4 linked regions of the Cricetulus griseus genome follow. The protein of the gene in region 1 purifies or fractionates together with the protein of each later gene. This does not show direct contact. Links are inferred from orthologs where the notes say so. Each region holds a gene or a part of one and is shown in the gene's direction. Other genes may lie near its edges. The genes, in order: Wwox, Wbp2, Dvl2 and Vopp1.

Region 1 (4,589 bases):
AGTGCTGAGACAGGGATCCCAGGAGCAAGTTGTCTGGCAGACAACAGAGACCCTGCCTCAATGAATAAGCAATTGGATAATCTTTTTATCAACGTCAGGCCTCCTCAAGCCTGTGCACATGCGTGTCCACATACACATGTACACTTCACACACATACACATATGGAGGGGAAAAAAAGACCCTAAATGTTGTTTTCAGTAAGTTAGCTTTTCACTGTATTATGTTCAGGGAAGTGTGTCTGCCCCTAAAGACTATGGAGAGGGAGGAGCTATCTCACAGCAATGATCATTTTTAGGACCTGAAGACAAAAGCAACACTGTCAGTATCCCTAACTCACCCATAAAATATGCAGTCTTTTTATAGAAGCAGGTATTCTCTCAGTCCTGGTCCAGAAGTTTTCTCTGTCACACAGCCTTGGGAAACAAGTTATCAGTAGGGCATGTTTGGGAAACTTCCTTCAGCAAGGACAAGCTGAAGGGTAGGATTTGGGTTGAGGATATAGACAGGATTCCTGTCAAGTTCTTTAAAAGCCTACTTTGTGAGTTTGTAATTAGGTAGTGCCTATGAATGAGAGAAGCCCATCATGCTTGGAAGACCATTCTCTCTAATGGAAAATCTAGAGAAATGAGAATTTGTACTTTTTGTATCTTTGGAGACATTGCCTCCTTTTATAGTATAGGCTGGTGTCAGACTTGTGTAATCCTTCTGTTTTAGCCTCCCAAATTCTGGGATTATAGGCGTGAGCTACTGCAGGTGTCTAGACCTTGTATTTTTAAGTTCTGTACAGTATAGATAGTTTTTAAAATGTCGAGTTTACAAGCACAATGAAACTTGTGAATGGAAAAACCCTGATAGTATTACGTCGGATATTTACTCTCACAGGTGTGTCCATCCTGAGGTTCATGTCAGCATGTGGCCCAGGATAATACTAAACACGGCCCAATACAAAAATAGTAAACTTCAAATATTGTGAGATTTTTCTTTTTCCTTTTCAAAATTTGAGCGGTTCTCCAGCATAAATTTTGTATATGACAAAGTCACAGTATCGAGTCTCAATGTTGACTGAGCATACACACCTGCAAGCGAAGAACCTGGAGCCCAGGACAACCTCATCAGAACCCTTTCTTTTTTGCTGTACTTTAAAGCCCCGTTGAGCCTGGACTACATTTCCCAAGATACCCCATGGCTGGGACTCATTCAAGATTGGGTAAAACAATGAGGAAGTGATTTCGGGTCGCCCAGCAACGGGCGGAGTCCAGAGACGTGAATGGGTGAGCACGCCCCTTTCAGGAGGGTAAAGAAGCTTATTCCAGTTTCTGAGCCGTTCCTGTCTTTCCTTCCAGCCGCAGGGCCCTTTGGTCTCTTCTGAGCTTCCACCACCTCTCTCCTCAGGCTCCGCCCCTTTTCCCGCCAGTCGCCGCGAAAATAGGAAACTGGATTGCAGCTGCGGATCGGCTGGTGGAGCAGTGCGCAGGCGCGTGCGGTCGGGGGGAGGGGGCCCCTGATGCGCGCGGCGCGGTTGAAGGTAGAGTGAGTTGCTGAGGTGACCCGGTGAATACTTGTATCTCCACCATGGCAGCTCTCCGCTACGCCGGCCTGGACGACACGGACAGTGAGGATGAGCTGCCTCCGGGCTGGGAGGAGAGAACCACCAAGGACGGCTGGGTATACTACGCCAAGTAAGCGGCCTGGAGCGGCGCTCGCGGGGGCCCGTGCCCTAGGAGGCCTGGATCCTGTGCTGTCCAGCCCGGTGGGCATGCGCATCCAGATTGCCAGCCACCTGTCCCGGGTTCCCCATCCTTATGGGCTCAGGGTCAAGACCAGGTCACCTGGCCCCCTGCAGCACGCCCCCTGCTGCTCATTAGGTGGCACTGCACTGTGCGTTGATGGCTCATGGGTCTTTACTAAGGAGGAAATGGAGCAAACTTCAATACCCAGTTCCCGCCAAGGGGACCCGGGTTGGAGACCCAGCAGTCTGTATTTTTAAACAGAGGTCCTGGGTGGCTCACAGTGGTTTCCCAGGGAAGATTTGGAAACTGCAGCAGAGCCTTTCTAATTACTAATCGTGACCTCGGGCCACTGACGGCCAGGACTGATAGTCTGTTTTCCCGTCAGTAAAATGAGTTGACACAAGAATGAGTTCAGTGCTTTGCATAAGGCACTCAGTGGAGAGGCTTGTGGGTTGTAGATCTCCCGTTGTGCCGGCATTAGTTGGACTGTATCTCTGGCAAGAGTTGCTTAGGCCTGATGTTGGAATTACGTATGTGGTCTCCTTCCTCCTACTCCCATCCTTTTTTTCTGAGACAGGAAACCTGGCTGGCCTGCAACTAGCTTAAATAGACCAGGCTGACCTCGAACTTTCACAGATCCACCTGTCTTTACAGGGTCTCACCGTGTGTGTAGGCCTGGGTGACCCAGATCCTCCACCCCTAGTATCTGGGTAGTGTCTTATATACATACACTGAGTTTCTATAGAGAACCTATTGCAGCTGATTCTATAGTTGGGGCGAATCTGCTCATTTTTAACAAGTACGTATTTGATGTACAAAGTCATGGGTTTTGATACAGTTAGGGGTCTTGATTGGGTTCATCTCTGCCAGCTAAAGAATTAAAAAGCAGGAAAAATCTCCAACACAACAGGTGGTAATGGAGAAATCTCCAATACCTCCAACAGCAGAAGGCCGAATCATTAATTGAAAAGCATCTATTGAGGGCTGGGAGCAGGGGAACACTTTCACACAGCAGATAAACTGACCCTCTGCAAGACAGACTATGAGGGGGGGTTCTGGAAGCCAAAAAATACAGCTTCTTTTTGAGGGTTTCCTCCCTCCCTCCCTCCCTCCCTCCCTCCCTCCCTCTCCTGCCTTCCTCCCTCCCTCCCTCCCTCCATCCCTCCCTCCCCATTTCTCTACCCCCCCTCTTTCTTGTCTTTGAAATTTTTCCTTCTCTAACATAAGAGTTGGCCAGTTTGAAGAAAGATAAGATGGTTGATTGACCCACAGCTGTTGGGTAACATGCCCTGATTTGGACTTGAACTTGTTGAGCAGGGGCCTGCTGGCAGGAAAAATCACACAAGGCCTTTGTTTTAAGATGTCAGGCTTTTGTCTCATTAAGGATGGTGAGGAAGAAGCTGGCCTTTGGAAGTCCACACCTTTGTTACGTAGGCCGCTCTCCCTATCTGCCAGCCTACCCAGGAGACTGCCTACCTCCTATTCCCCGGGTTTTATGGCATTCTTTATCATATGTATACTGTGTACTTTCCTAGTGTTCAGGGTCCCCCATTACTCTGTTTTGGTCCATCCCCCGCCCCCCGATTTTCTCCCTCTTCTCAAAACTTCCCCCTCTACTTTCTTATGTGTTTGTGAAATATGTTTTTAAACCAGGGTCACATGTAGTCCAGGCTGGCCTTAATTAACTTGATATGCGTTTGAGGTTGAGCTTCTGATTCTCCTTTCTCTACTTCCTGAGGTCAACAAGTGTATACGAACACACCTACCTTTATGTTTTTAAAATCTAGGAGATTCAGTCTTTTCACAGTGCTAGGAAACAAATTATTGTAATAACACCTATAATTTGTATTTTTAGTTTTAAATATTTAATTAATTTAAAAAATATGTAGACCATACTGGCTTTAAACTCACAGAAATCCTCTGTCCTCTGGGATTAGTGGCATAGTGATACAGTTTTGTTTGTCCAGCAGTGTTTTGTAACTCACACTTGCCTAGAATTCTTTATGTAGACAGGGATGACATTAAATTTCTGATCCTGTTGCCTCTTGCCTCCAGATATGGAACCACATGTTTGTACCACCCTACCTGGTTCCTGGCTTATCAAATTAAGGCTTAGTTTGTGCCCTGGAGTCTCTCCATTGATAGGTTACAAACTCCCCATAAGATTTTCAGCTACTGAAGGGAAGGGTACGGATCACTGCTGCCCCTGGTAGCCAGGTAGGAAGAAACAGAAAATGGAAAAACTGGTGAGTTCATTAATTCAAGAGCATAGAGCCCTGAAGAGCCAGGTCCCTTGGTGGGCACTGGTGATGTCCAACTAATTGAGGAGCTCTGTAAAACCAGGCAGATGACTTGTAATTAGATAGAGTGCATAGTCTGTCCAGCATGAGGTGTGTGTGTGTGTGTGTGTGTGTGTGTGTGTGTGTGTGTGTGTGTGTGTGTGTGTGTGTGAATGGGTGAGGGAGGCTGTCTAGGAGAGGTGTCACTTGGCCTGTGTCTCAGAGCACAGGTAGAAGGTGGGTCAATGTGGCTAGAAGTAAGACAGGTGGAAGGGACAGGAGGAAGAGGGACCCTAGGCAGGCCTCTGTCTGTGGTGCAAGGTTGTAAAGCCTGAGACTGTTGAGGAAGGAATCAGTTTGCAGAGGCCCTCTGTGCTTCACTGAGGACATGGGACCCTTTTGTTAGACTCTGGAGCCTGAGTGTGACACTGAGTTTGTGTCTTTAGAAGGAATGAGTGGCTCTGGAGAAGTGGATTGCATGAGCAGGAGGTTCAGGGGTACAGGCGTATCTATGATCCAATATTTGCTGCTCCTACTTGGACCTCTATGTGCAGAGTCTTTCTCTGTTTTAGAGACCTTA
Region 2 (4,609 bases), on another chromosome or scaffold:
CGCTATTTGACTTTTATGAGAGTGTACCCAGAAAAAAAAAAAAAAACTAAAGAATGCAAAAGACTCCTTGCACTGAGTCACCCCGAAATTCCCAAAACTGTGTCTCAAAGGGATAGTGCTGCAATTCCTGCCTGAAGACTATCAGTATCTTATTTTTATGCAAATAAAAGTGTATTTCTTCAACATTCTGTATATTACCGTATAGAGTTGGATTTTACTTTTTTTAAAAGAAGACTTACTTTATGGGACCAGAAAGGTGGCTCAGCAGCCAAGATAACTTGTCCTTGCAAAAGACACGAATTTGGTTGCCAGCACCCATACAAACAGTTTATAACCATCTGGATCTGCAGCTCCAAGAGATGTGACACCCTCCTGTGTCCTCCTGCGGCTCCTGTACACACTGTAGTACACATGCATGCATGCAGACAACCCGTTACATACATAAAGTGGAAATAAACATTTTTAAAATGTGTTTTCATTAGTTTTTAATGATGTGTATGTGTGCACATCTATGATATATATATATATATGATGCATGAGAAGGCCAGAGACGTCAGCGCCTGACCTCAGTGCTGGAAAGCAATCTCGGGACCCCTCCTTCTCAGCTGCTGAGCCATCTATTCACACACACGCACACGCACACACACGCACACGCACACACGCTACACCACCACCACTTTTTTTTTTTAAAGACAGCGTCTTACAATAGCTGAGGCTGGACTGGAAATCCTTATGCAACCCAAGCTGACCTCCAATTTGCCGCAGCTTCCTGCCTCAGCCTCCCAAATGCTGGGATGTGAACCGCTATGCTGTCTGCTTGGGACCAAACCCTGATCCCCCAGATCTAGGGATAGTGAGGACGTCCCGCAGTCCTTCCCGGCCCGCGAAAGAGCCACCTCAGATGGAGTTCAGATTCTCTGCAACGTAGTGGACAGACACCCACGCCTGGGTCTTCAAAGTCCTGCTGTTTAGACTAGCGAGCTAGACTGAGAGGGCGCAGCGCCATCGTGAGGCCAGAGGGTGCAGGGGGCGGCGCAGGGAGCCGCGCAGGGGGCGGTGCAGGGGGGCGGTTCAGGGGACCGGTGCAGGGGTGGCCGGTGCAGGGGGCGGGGAGGACGGTGGGGAGGACGGTGGGGAGCCGATCACTCTCCCCAGAAGTTCACACTGTCCGACTCGCGGGGTCACGGTTGGAGGTGATTAAAGCGTATTTTGCTGGGACTGTTCCAGTCCACCTTAGACAGGGCTACGTCTCGCACAGCCAAGAGTATGGGCGAGGACGAAGGCGGCTCATTAAGTGGTTTAAAGGTGGCACACACCAAGTCACCACGTTTAAGTTACATCTCTCCAATTGAGTTTGCTTAACACGAGGAGGCCGGTTTGGGAGACGCGTACAGATGTTTAAGACTTTGTAAATAACCTAGCAAGCCTGTCCTAGAGTTAAAAAAAAGACTACAAGTCCCAGAATTCAACCACCACTCAACGCAAGGAGAGGTCGCGGTTGAGGGAACCATCGCCTGCTGGGAATTGTAGTCCGCGGCTTGTTTGTGATGCAGGTGCGACTTGGGGGAGGGGGAGCGGGAGTAAACTCTCGCCACGTGACATCGGAGGTCAGGTGGTTGGTCAGCCTGCGCGCAGGAGCGATGATTGGCTGGCTGTAATACGAACGACGCCACTGGAGGCGGGCCGAAGACCGGCGCAGGCGCAGAGCGCTGCGAGTCTCGGGACCCCAGTGGGAGGAGAGACTATGGCGCTCAACAAGAATCACTCGGAGGGTGGCGGAGTGATCGTCAACAACACTGAGAGGTGAGGACGCGGCGGAAGGATCCTGGAGGCTGGGGGCGGAGGCGGGCGCCGTGTGGTGGGCGGTGGGGTGCGGTGAGGAGGGGCGGTGGTGGAGCGCTGGGGGAGGGGGCGGTAACGGCCGGGGGCGGGGCTGGAGGGCGTGGGTGGGGCGTGGGTGAGGGGGGGGAGCCGGGGGAGCCGGGGGAGCCGGGGGAGCCGGGGAGCCGGGGAGCCGGGGGGAGCCGGGGGGGGGGGGGAGCCGGGGCGGCGGGGACGTGGGTCCTGAGTGAGGCCAGCGAGCCCCCTCCCAAATGGAGTCCGAGAATAATTGCTCTGTGTTGGGCGTTTACTACGTGGTTGCTACGCGGCAGGAGGCGCGGCGTGGGTCGGTTCTGCCTCAGATAACAGCTAATCTTGTGCGGCAGAAACTATCCCACACGGTTTACCGGTAGGGCAAGCGAGGCTCACACAGGGCGAATAACCTGGCTTAGGGCTGTGAGTGACCGATGGGACCTGAGGCAAGAGTCTTGACCGCAAAGCCAACAGTTGCTTAACCACTCCTGTCCAGTCTCCTCGTATATTCCAGAACTTCTCAGGTTCCAAGAGAAAGGCTGAGGCCCTAGAGGTGGAACTGAGGGGCTGTCATCTGCTCACCCAGTGCCTGGCGCCCGCGGGCCTTGTAAAGGCGTCTCCCTTGTGTCGCTCGCTCGCTCGCTCGCTCGCTCGCTCCCCTGGTTCTCTTGGATTCCTGAGGGCTTAAGTCGCTCGCCAGAGTAGAAGTCTCTCAACTGCAAGATTCTTTTTTCTCTACCCCTCACTGCACCATCCACTCTTCCTCTCCAACTTTTGGGCCCTCTCTGTCGCTTCTCTTTTCCTTTCTTGCTCGGACATTGGAAATCAGACTCTCTTGACCTGAGCTATGCAAGCTTGAATGTCTTCTTGAAGGCCAAGGGAGGCGTGGTCGAAGTCAAAGCCATCTTGGGACCTGTCACTTGAGAATGTTTGATGAGTCAGAAGAGAAGGTGTGGGGTGACACAGACTGGAAATGCTGATTTTGTCTCCATAGTTCTTGGCAGGTTCTGGCCAGCCCAGCAAGTTTTTTTTTTTTTTTTTTTTTTTTTTTTTTTGGTTTTTCGAGACAGGGTTTCTCTGTGGCTTTGGAGCCTGTCCTGAAACTAGCTCTTGTAGAACCAGGCTGGTCTCGAACTCACAGAGATCCGCCTGCCTCTGCCTCCCCAGTGCTGGGATTAAAGGTGTGCGCCACCAACGCCCAGCTGATCACTTCTTTATTATTATTATTTTTTAATTCTTAGTTTTTCGAGACAGTTTCTCTGTGTAGCTTTGGAGCCTGTCCTGGAACTCACTTTGTAGACCAGGCTGGTCTGGAACTCACATAGTTCCTCCTGCCTGCCTCTGCCTCCCCAGTGCTGGGATTAAAGGCGTGCACCACCACCGTCCAGCTGGTGATCACTTCTTTAACCTGAGCTGGCCTCTTTTATTGTGTTCTAAGTCCTCTATTACCTTTGCACCAAGAAAGGGTATTTGGGATGAGGAGGAGACATAAGAATTTGGACCCTTATGTCATGTAATCTGAGAAACCTTATTCTCTGGTGTACTTAGTCCAGTACCTTGGCTGGTCAAGTACTTTGATGCCATTCAGTGGTGTCCCCACCACTACCCCTCTCTCTGGTTTTCAGTCTATGGTTTCCATCCAGATTGGCCTTGAACCTGAGGCAATCCGACCTCTGGCTTTTGAGAGCAGGGAAATCAGAGATGTACCACCACAACCAGAGCTGTTTAGCTTCATCGTTTGAGAGTGGTTTTCCTTCACTTACTCTGGCTTTTATGTAGAAGATTTCTGCCCTCCTGGGCTCAGCACCTGGCTCATTGCTACCAAATAGGGTCCTGGGAAGAACTTCAGCCTCACTTCTGAAACATGTGTCAGTAATAATTGAAATGTAAGTGCAGTGCTCAAACTTATGATATTTAAACTAGTGAACAAGCTGGGCATTGGTGACCACACCTTTAATCCCAGCACTCAGGAGGCAGAGGCAGGCGGATCTCTGTGAGTTTGAGGCCAGCCTGGTCTCCAGAGCGAGTGCCAGGATAGGCTCCAAAGCTACACAGAGAAACCCTGTCTCGAAAAACCAAAAAAAAAAAAAAAAAAACAAAAACAACCCCCCCCAAAACTAGTGAACATTAACCTTTAATTCACAAACCACTGTTAGAGATAAAGGCTGTGAACTCTTCCCAGAAAACCGAGCACACAAGTACACACACACACACACACACACACACACACGCACGCACGCACGCACGCACACATACAGACACACACATGCATATACACACATCTCAAGGGCTTTATCCACAGACATTTTCTACAGCTCCAGCTAAAGAAGCTTGGATTAAAAAAAAAAAAACACACACACATAGAAACAACAACAACAACAACAAAAATATGATCTCCCAGAGGGCCCATTTAGTTCCCCGTATCAATGTCAGGCGGCTCACAACCACCTGTGTCTCCAGCTTCAGAGGATCCAATGAAACTATAGAATCATGTCTTTGACTCTATACTTTTATTATTTACTTATTTATTAGCTGTGTGTGTGTTGCTGGGGAAGAACTCAGAACTGTGACCATGCTAGGCAAATACTACTGTGCTGCATCCCCAAGTCCCATTAGACTCATGTTTATATATTAGGGTTTTGTTTGTTTTTGTTGTTTGTTTATTGTTGTTGTTTTGGTATTTTTGAGACAGGCTTTCTCAGTGTAGCTCTGGCTGTCCTGGAACTCACTCTGTAGACCAGGCTATCTTCACAGA
Region 3 (4,557 bases), on another chromosome or scaffold:
CTCAGAGTCTTCAGCCTCTTCAAAGCAGGAATTCCCGAGGGAGACTTGTTTGGAATTGAGTGTCTTGTACGCTGTCCTTCCTGCTCCATGGACTTGAATTAGACCCATTACATCTGGGTCAGGGGAGGCTGGATCTGTAGACAAGTCTCTGTCCAGTCAACCTACCACCCTTTGACTTTCAGGGCCAGGGCTCAAACTGGGATGTAATGGGATAGTTGTCTATAAAATTGTAGTGTAAATACAGCACTCCCTCATGTTTTCTTCTCTCTCACTCCCATTTGCTTTCTTCTACACCGGTTGTTTTTAATTTTGGGCTCCCATGTTTGAGCAAAGTGGTTGCTCAAAGGCGGAGTACCATAGCTGGTGGAGTGGGGGAGAAAAGCAAAAAGGTGTCAATTATCACTAGCCTCATTTTTAATAATATTGGCTGGCTGCTTGTACAGACAGCCAGCGTGTTGTAAATAAAGCAGAGTGGGCTCTTGTGTTTTACAATCCTCGTTGTCCTATTTGGGGAGGGGACCTGGCAGATGTCTCGATGTAATTAGGGCTGAAACCGACTCTTATGATCCAGAGATATAATCCCACAATTTGGGAGGTGGAGACAATTTAGGGGCTAAGGCTGGCTTCCACTACATGAGACACTGAATCCCCCATCACCCTCTCTCACTCAAAAGTCAAATCTTGAAAGGTCTAGTTTTCAGCGTTCTCAAACCAGAAGTCGTCCTAGAGGTCCAAGTTGGTTTGCAGTTCTCGATTTACCAGTACCCTCCCACACCCCCATAGTTGCACCTGAGGTGCTTTGAGCTCTGGGCCTGGGATGGGTAAAACAGTGGGAGCCAGTTGCCAGCATTCTAAGAGTCAACGGGGTTGGCCATAGTACTTGGTGTGGGGCGGGGTACACGTTTGGGGGCGGAGTCTTCTAGGGCTGAAGACCGTTGCTCAAGGCAGCGATCACGTGAGTGTCTAGGCGGAGCTTCGCAGTCACGTGACACGAGCGGATCACGTGAGGGCAGTCGGCTGCGCAAAGTGGGCGGGCTTGTGTCACGTGGCATGGGGAGAGGTGGGCGGGGACCTCGATACTGTTCGCGACGTAGGTGGTGGTGTTGGACCTCGGCTGTGGGGTCCAGGGTTCTGGGTCTCGCTCCACGGCTCTAAGCTATCACCCTGCTGCTCCACGCCGTCCTCCTTGGGCGCGTCTCCCGCACTGGCCCTGCCCTGTCGGCGCTAGCACGTCAATTTGCGGGTGTGCGCAGGCGCGGCGGGGGCGCTTAGTCCTGTTGGGTGGGCGGCTGAGCCCGGGAGCGCGCGAGCGAGACCATGGCGGGCAGCAGCGCGGGGGGCGGTGGTGTAGGCGAGACGAAGGTGATTTACCATCTGGATGAGGAAGAGACTCCCTACCTGGTGAAGATTCCTGTCCCGGCGGAGCGCATCACCCTCGGCGATTTCAAGAGCGTTTTGCAGCGGCCCGCGGGCGCTAAGTACTTTTTCAAGTCTATGGATCAGGATTTTGGGTAAGCGTGAGGCCTAGACTGGGAAGGACGATGGATGTGCTGGAATGGATTGGGCGATTTTGAGGGGGACTGGACTGCCTTGGAATTTTTCTGGCCTGTTGTAGAACATAGCATATTGTACTATGCTAGAGTAGATCGCCCATCCCAAGACGGACAAGGTTGGACACACAGAGCTTGGGAAGAACGGGCTGGACTTCAGTAAACCAGAGGCAAGAAAATTAGGTTGGAATAATGGGGCACACTGGTTTGTTTGGCCATTCTCTCTACTTGATTTTAGCCACAAGGCTAAGAGGCGATGCTTGAGGATATTTTAGGCTGTGCTGAGATTAGATTCAACTATCTTTTGGTTGTCTGGTATGTTCTCAGACGTCTTCACAAGGATTGTATAGGAATATTCTGTAGGGTTATTTTGTTTGTTTGTTTGTTTGCTGGTTTTGATTTGGTCTTTTGTTTTGAGACAGGCCTTACTCTTTGTATCCTAGGCTGGCTCCGAACTCATGGAGTTCCTGCTTTCAGCCTTGAGAGCTGGAGTTAACAGGTGTGAGCCAATATGCTGGGCATGCAGTGTCATTATGTAGATTGAGCTATACTTAGACAATTTAGGCTATCCTGGCTTATTAATTAGGTCCCATAGTATTATTTTGAGATCTGAAATAATGCAGAGAGGTCTGTCGGGGATAGGTTGGACTGTTTTGAATAGATTTTTTTCTGGCAAAGTTTGCAACCTTCTGAACTCTACTGGGTTCTTTTTATTTTCTCTTAGGAGTAGATTCCCCTCCCCCTACGGGGGAAATTGGAGGTTTGTTTGTTTATTTTAAAGATATTTTATGTGTATGGGTGTTTTGCATGCGTGCATATTTGTGCACTACAAGCATGCAATGCCTCAGAAACCAGAAGATGGCTTGGGATCGCTTGGAACTGGAGTTATGTATATGTTATCCTCTATTTAGGTGCTGGGAATTGCACTCCAGTCCTTTGGAAGAGCAGCCAGTGCTCTTAACTGCTGAGCCAGGATTTCATCCTGTAACTAAAGCTACCTAGAGCTCACAATGTAGAACAGACTCACCTTGAATTTGTAGCAGCCCTGCCTCTATGTCTGCATCCTTCATGCTGAGGCTAGAGGTGTGTGACACTATACCTGGCCCAGACCTGGGTTTACTGTGTTACAAGATAGGAATAGGCTGGTGGAGTCCGTGCATATTGTATTGGGGTATTGCAATCAGTACTGGTGCAGACAGCTGCTTGTGTGGAGGCACTGGGGCTTTGCTAGATTAGATGGGGGTTGTTCTGGGGTAATTTGGGACATTCTGGGTGATCCTGGGCTGGAGTAGAACTCTTGAGTAAGGCAGCCTTTTGTTTTGTAGCTATTGAGACCGAGTCTTGTGTGTCCTCAGGCTCAAGGTCTGAAGATAGAGTGCATTGGATTCTGATGTTCTGAGTTGGCATAAGCAAGGATAGCAGGGTACTGGGGAGAAAAAGGTTATCTACCACCTGGGTTGGAGCAAGGCTCCTTACCTGTGGTTGGAGCACATTCCCCATTAGCTAGAACTGAACAAACTGGACTCTCACTGAAGATTTTTCGACATGGGCAGAGTGATACTATCTAGGGGGTTGTCTTGGATTTGAATCTTGGTTCTTCTTTTTGCATTATAATTTTAGGCAATCTATTTAACTTTTGTGCTTTGATTTCTTCATCTGTGGCATGATGATAATCATAGTGTAAAATACTTAATTTAGGTGCAAGCACATGGTAAATCTTGGTGGCTGGTAATTTTCATTTAGTATTGAGGCTAACTAGTTCATAGACTAGATTATAGTGATACAAAATTGCCTGCTTTGGAGGAGACTGGGCCACGCTGGGTTTGATGAGGTTGGGTTATGTTGGGAAGAGTTGTATACACTGAGCAGACCCCTGGTGACTGGGCTATGTTGTCTTGGCAGCTAATATATGAGGAATATACCTTCAAAATGTGGCATATACCCAAGGCCCCCAGAGCATATTAGGCTAGTGTTAATCAATCAAGAGGTTTTATTTTAATTTTTTCATTATTTTTATGTATATGAGTGTTTTGTCTGCATGTATGTATATCATGTGCATGCCTGGTGCCTGTGAACATTAGAAGAGACAGAGCCCAGAACTGGAGTTACAGATGGTTGTGAGCCACTATGTGGGTGCTGGAAACTAAACCTGGGGCCTTTTGGAAGAGCGATAAATGCTCTTAACCACAAGCCAACTCTCACTAAGCCAGCCCCCAGACAAGAAGTTCTAATTTGAAGGTGAGGGTGTTGTGTATGTGAAAGTAAGCCTCATGGCTCATATTTTGTCACCATGTATTTGCTAATGCTTACTAAGTATCAAGGCTGGTGCTGCACACCCAGGACACATGTTGAACAGAGTAGGTGCTAATGATTTCTTGTGGGTATTGAGAAGGAACAAGTTTAATCCGAGGCGGGAGCCTGTGGGAGGCTGGCCACCAAGGCTGGGCTTCAGGATGTTTCAGGCTGAGCAGATTGCTTAGTGAGATGAGGCAGCCAGGAAACGGGAAGCCTCTCATCCCCTCTCAGTGGGCGCTTTCCTGGTGTGGAGTGTTACTGTCACATTGAAGGGTGTTTTCACCTAGCAAAGGCCACACATTTGGATGTCTCTGGGTGTGAATTAGAACTGAAAGGCTGTGGAACAGCAGAGGAGTACACGAGTACCAGGGCCTTTAATGGGACAGATGTGTAGAACAGAGATAAGGTTAGCAAGGCTCTGAGTTAGATATTTGGAGCAATTGGAGAACTGTCCCTAAGGGCCTTTGGAGAGGTACTTGGAGGTTTGGATCAGATGGGAAGCACTCTTTAGAGCAGCATTATATTTCTAAGGATGAACTGGGGGTGGGTAGTAAAATAAGGCAAGAACCTGAGTGAAAGCCAATAGTTTCACTGTAAAAGCCGAGTGGCCAGGCACCACAGTGATGCATGCTGGGCATGGTGACATACCTTTAGTCCTAGGAGGCAGAGGCAGACAGATCTCTGTGAGGTCAATCTAGTATACATAGTGAAT
Region 4 (4,730 bases), on another chromosome or scaffold:
CAGCCTGGTCTACAAGAGCTAGTTCCAGGACAGCCTCCAAAGCCACAGAGAAATCCTGTCTCAAAACTCTCCCTCCCCTCCAGGAAAAAAAAAAAAAAAGATTTGTAAAGAAGGCAGTTACCACAGTCCAGTAACCATTTGCAGGCTTTGAGTCAGTCCTGTGTGCACACAAAAGTTCCCCCAAAGAAACTACTTCTAGTAACCAGAAAGCTAAGAATATCATCAGGGCCAAAGAAGAGACTTTCGTGCTTCGCTGTAACCAACCCACTTAATGTTTCCACCAAAGGTCTTAATTTTTGTCTTTCTTTATTCTGTTACTATAAAACTTCATGAAACTATCACTGTATGGAACATGGAACTTGAGGTAACCACGAGGATTTTTTTCCTGCTTCACTTGCCAGTTGTAACAGGTATAGTTTGATGGTGCATTCTCTATCTTAACCAAATAAGTGCTTGTACCTAAAGTTGGCAAAGTATTTAAGACTTGCCCCATGAGTTTATTTTTGTAAACTTCTTCCTTCCATACTTGTTGGAGGGGGTTCTGTCATTTATCCAACACGTTATTAAACAAAATATTCAGTTTAATTCATTATTTGAGTGTGTGTGTTTCTGTGTGTGACGTGCTTGTATGAAGGCATGCACATATGCCACGTGCCCATGTGGAGGTACAATGAGTCCATTCTTCCTGTCTTAGAATTGCAGGGTGGAATTCTCTTCCTCAGGCTTTCCTGGCAAGCATTTTTACCCTGCTGAAGGCTCTCTCTGAACCTAAAGGACTGGATTTTCCTGATCTCTGCACTCAGCACCCTGTATCACAGTTGTTTAAACTAGATCTCTTTAGACTCCCTCCGTGAGCTGTTTTCTTGTCCACCTCTATGTATTGGGCCTCCAGCGCAGGTCTGATATCTTAACAAGTTCAACCAATGCTTCAGCAATTTCTGGAATCAGGTGGCAGCCGAGCCTGGTTGTGGAAAAACAAAAGACAGTGTCTGCGAAGCAAGTGACAGTGGACACTGCTGTCAGCAGCAATTGTGAGGTAAAGGGGCCTACTTCAAAGGTGATGCACATTGTGGGGTCCAAAGGTGAGGTCCTAGCACAGCCCGACAAAAGGGTGTTGGCATAAACCTTACACCGCCAACCTTTTGCTGTCCTTTCCTTGCGGTTTAACTGTCCTTTCCATCAAGCTGGGTCAGGGTGAGCTGCCCACCTCACCTGTAGAAACCACAGTGACAATGTCTCCGGAGGGTAAAAACTTCAGGACGTTCCCGGTGCTGGGCTCATCCGTGTGCATCCCCCAGCACCCCCAACACGGCGTCCTTTAAAAACCATTCCCAGAACTAATGGAGATGAGACAAGGCGGTCTCCTCCGGGAGAGGAGACACCTGGCAGTCTTCGCACCGGGCCGGCCCGCCCGCCGTCCCCGCGTCCCGCAGCGCGCCCCACAGACCTTGCCGGCTCCGAGCCCGCGAGCGCGCGCCCGTGCGGTGGGTCGGCGCGCGCGGCGAGGGCCCGGCACGTCCTCGAGCTCCGCCGGCTTGCGGCGCGTCCTGGTGCCGGCGTCGGCCGATCTCCCCGGAGTCTGCACGCCGGTCCCGGGGTGTGGACCGGCTCGGAGCCCGCCGTGCAGCCGGGCTTCGGACGGGCCTCGCGGGAGCCATGAGCCGCCGGCTCGGCAGGGTGGCGGCGCTGCTGCTCGGGCTGCTGGTGGAGGTAGGGCCGCCGGCTCCCGGCGCCTTCCGGAGCGAGGAGCGGGGACGCGGGAAGGGCCGTTGCGGGGCTGGCGGATCTGCCGTGCGAGGTGGCGGAGGGGCCTGGTGCCGGGACCCCCGGCCCTGCCCGCGCGCCGCCGCCGCCTCCCGTCTGCGCCCGGGTTGGGGAGGGACCTTTGTGCGTGTCCACACGCGCTCACGGGGCCTGGGCCGGCCCCAGCCGCGGCTGGAGGGACGCAGGGACGCAGGGACGGAGGGAAGAGGACACTTCTGCTCTTGGAAATGAAGTGCCCGCTTTTAGAGGCCGGGAGAAAATTCCTCGGGGAGCTTGGGTGGTGGTGGTGTACTGAGGGGAAGCCGCGGCAAGTTGACGGTGGGTGGGAGCGCCGCCGAAGCACAGCCAGACCGCGACCGCCGGCGACTGAACCGCGAGCGACATCCTGTGACGCCAGACACCCTTCCTGCGCCAGCGGGTTCATTCAAAGGCAAGAGAGTGTGGACTTGGGGTGTGTAAGCTCTGACGCGGGGTTTGTTCGCTCTCCCACAGCTTCACCATTTCGAGAGAATTTTTCATTAGTAAAGGCAGTGTAAGTGGGGAATGATCACCCCCTGACTGTCGCGGTCCTGCCTTCGAGACCCGTAAAACGCCCTTGGTTGGGGAGTCAGCAGTGCTGGGAAGACTTAACTGGTCTTCTCAGACGCTCGCGGGAAAGGAAGTCTTAGTTCTTTAGAAAGGAAGGTTAGTGGAGCAGTTTCTCCTTGCTTCAAGTCCCAAAACGGAGCAAAGATTGCTTGCTTCTCTCTGAAATGTTTCTTACTAGTGTTTTGTTTTGTTGTTGTTGTTGTTGTTTTTTGAGAAGTGCCACCTCTCGTTTTTCTTCCCACTTGCTCAGATTTCAAAAACGAAATCTCTGAGTGGTGATTCAACATTGACTGCTGTGGAAAAGGGAACCAGAAGCCAACGTTTACAAAAGTAAACATGTGTTTACGTTAACACATCTCTGCCAACTTTTGTAATTCGGTAATCTCGTGTGTGTGTGTGTGTGTGTGTGTGTGTGTGTGTGTGTGTGTGTGTGTGTGTTTTAACAATGCCTGATAACATTATTTAGGTTCTCTTGTCTCTCATGTGCCCACTCCTGTGTCATAGCCTAAAATGCTGCATGCCGTGAGGTGGGGTGTTCTTGCTGTTTGTGTTTTTTTTTTTTTTCTATCTTTTTGTATTCCAATGATGTTTATTGAGGAAACGAACCGTAGACTGTTGGATAGGCATGCCAACAGTCAAGGGCTTTGCATTCAAGGCCTGGAAATGGAAAAACTGTGTTAGCTTTGGGGGGGGGGCAAAGTAACCCCAAGCATGATGTGATTGTTGTTTGTCATCAGTTTTTATTTTCAACTTTTTAATCTACTGCTTATGGTGGTGTTGTCTAGAATTGCAGGAATGGGCTCTTCCCCCCCCCCCTCTGCTGATTTAAAGAATAAGAAGGCAGTAAAAACAAGCCAAGTTTTATTGCAATGAGAAACACATGCAGGGCAGGGGAAGGGAGAGTGAAGGGATAGAGGGAGAGAGAGAGAGGGAAGGAAAGAGAGGAGAGAGAGAGAGAGAGAGAGAGAGAGAGAGAGAGAGAGAGAGAGAGAGAGAGAGAGAGAGGATGAACAGAAAGAGACAGTCTCCCAGTGGGGAGGAGATCCAGACCTGAAAACCAGAGTTTATCTGGCAGAGCTAAAACTTATACTGGGAATGGGTTGAGTTTTCCCTTTCTCCTATTGGCCAGTTTGGCTAGTGCAGGAGATTGGATAATCCAGACAAAGAAACAGAAGCCGATTGGCTCCTACTATAGGAGCTCTCACTCCCCCCACCCCCCTTGTTGTAGATTTGAAAGCCTACTGAATACTTTCAGGCAGGAAAAAGCCCACTATCTAGTCTTGGTGAGGGAGAAGGAACAGGAAATCAGTTGTCTCAAACGTTCTAGTGAAAAGTATATTAATCTACTTAGAACCTCTTTTACCTGTCTGTCTGCCTGCTGGGCATCTGTCTGGTGCCTAATCCTTTAGTGTAGAAGGTTTTGTTCTATCTAGTTAGCTGTTTTGTTGCATAGGAATTTTTTTCAAATGTTGAGGATGGAACCCAGGTCCTCAGGGCCTTGAACATGGTAGTCAAAGGGAGCACTTTTTTCCGGTTCATTTAGTTTTATTTATTTTTTCTTAGCTGCTAGAGACTGAACCTAGGTCTTACACATGCTAAACAAGTACTCTATCCAGCCATAGTCCCTGTTTGCTTTTTAAGATAGAATTGTCCTATGTAGCCCAGGGCTTAGCCTCCCAAGTGCTGTCATTACAGGGATGGGTCACCATGTCTGGATGGACCTTTTTATCTTAATAGGGAATTTAAAACTTCTCTGAAGGATTGAAAAGACCCCAAAGGAAGAACTCTTGTGCTTTCACAAACTGCACTGTCTGCGTGCTGATAACATGTGTTTTCTAGGTAGCCCGCTTACACATGATGGCCATCCTCAGTACTTGTTTCTGGTAGAGAGGTGTGCCTCAAGGGTTAGCAAAACAAGCGTATGGTTTGGCAAGCACGGCGAAAGGAAGCAAGATCAGGCAATCCAAATACATAGTAAGGCAAGGCAAGGCACGAAAAGGAAGGGGAAGGGAAAGGAGGAAGAGGCACATGAAGGAAAGGAAAGGAAAGGGGAGGGAAGGAGAGGACAGGGAAGACATGCACATGGCAAGGGCAGGAAAGACTGGCAAGGCAATTTATCCCATGCAAGTTTAATGTGAGGCTTTAGTCTGGGCTTTTCCATCTTAAATTGTCTGTTTTGCATATCTTACTTGCATACTTTAGATGCCTTTGATGTCCTGTATCACCTGCTGAACTGTGCAGTGACATTACAGTGTGTGTGAGGAGACAGAGTCTTGGTGAGGGACATTAAAACAATTAGGGAAGGCATTTCATGGCTTCAGCTTCTGCCTGTTGACTGACAGTTTGTTTTTGTTTCTTTAGCTGCTTGAGATGTTTTG

What was found.
Region 2: the proteins of Wwox (region 1) and Wbp2 purify together in Homo sapiens (affinity purification with mass spectrometry; 3 studies listed by BioGRID and IntAct, with this or other methods). This does not show direct contact. The link is inferred for Cricetulus griseus from reciprocal best matches to the Homo sapiens genes WWOX and WBP2.
Region 3: the proteins of Wwox (region 1) and Dvl2 purify together in Homo sapiens (affinity purification with mass spectrometry; 4 studies listed by BioGRID and IntAct, counting the BioPlex papers as one, with this or other methods). This does not show direct contact. The link is inferred for Cricetulus griseus from reciprocal best matches to the Homo sapiens genes WWOX and DVL2.
Region 4: the proteins of Wwox (region 1) and Vopp1 purify together in Homo sapiens (affinity purification with mass spectrometry; 3 studies listed by BioGRID and IntAct, with this or other methods). This does not show direct contact. The link is inferred for Cricetulus griseus from reciprocal best matches to the Homo sapiens genes WWOX and VOPP1.

What each region holds. Positions count from the first base shown.
Region 1 is NC_048596.1:191,027,280-191,031,868, forward strand, and holds the start of Wwox (WW domain-containing oxidoreductase), read left to right. Parts: upstream 1-1,461; 5' UTR 1,462-1,572; coding exon 1,573-1,679; intron 1,680-4,589. UniProt on the Homo sapiens protein: Putative oxidoreductase. Acts as a tumor suppressor and plays a role in apoptosis. Required for normal bone development. May function synergistically with p53/TP53 to control genotoxic stress-induced cell death.
Region 2 is NC_048600.1:128,670,108-128,674,716, reverse strand, and holds the start of Wbp2 (WW domain-binding protein 2), read left to right. Parts: upstream 1-1,645; 5' UTR 1,646-1,744; coding exon 1,745-1,803; intron 1,804-4,609. UniProt on the Homo sapiens protein: Acts as a transcriptional coactivator of estrogen and progesterone receptors (ESR1 and PGR) upon hormone activation. In presence of estrogen, binds to ESR1-responsive promoters. Synergizes with YAP1 to enhance PGR activity.
Region 3 is NC_048600.1:83,846,694-83,851,250, forward strand, and holds the start of Dvl2 (segment polarity protein dishevelled homolog DVL-2), read left to right. Parts: upstream 1-1,317; coding exon 1,318-1,511; intron 1,512-4,557.
Region 4 is NC_048601.1:83,978,055-83,982,784, reverse strand, and holds the start of Vopp1 (vesicular, overexpressed in cancer, prosurvival protein 1), read left to right. Parts: upstream 1-1,588; 5' UTR 1,589-1,656; coding exon 1,657-1,710; intron 1,711-4,730. UniProt on the Homo sapiens protein: Increases the transcriptional activity of NFKB1 by facilitating its nuclear translocation, DNA-binding and associated apoptotic response, when overexpressed. May sequester WWOX in lysosomal vesicles and thereby regulate WWOX role as tumor suppressor.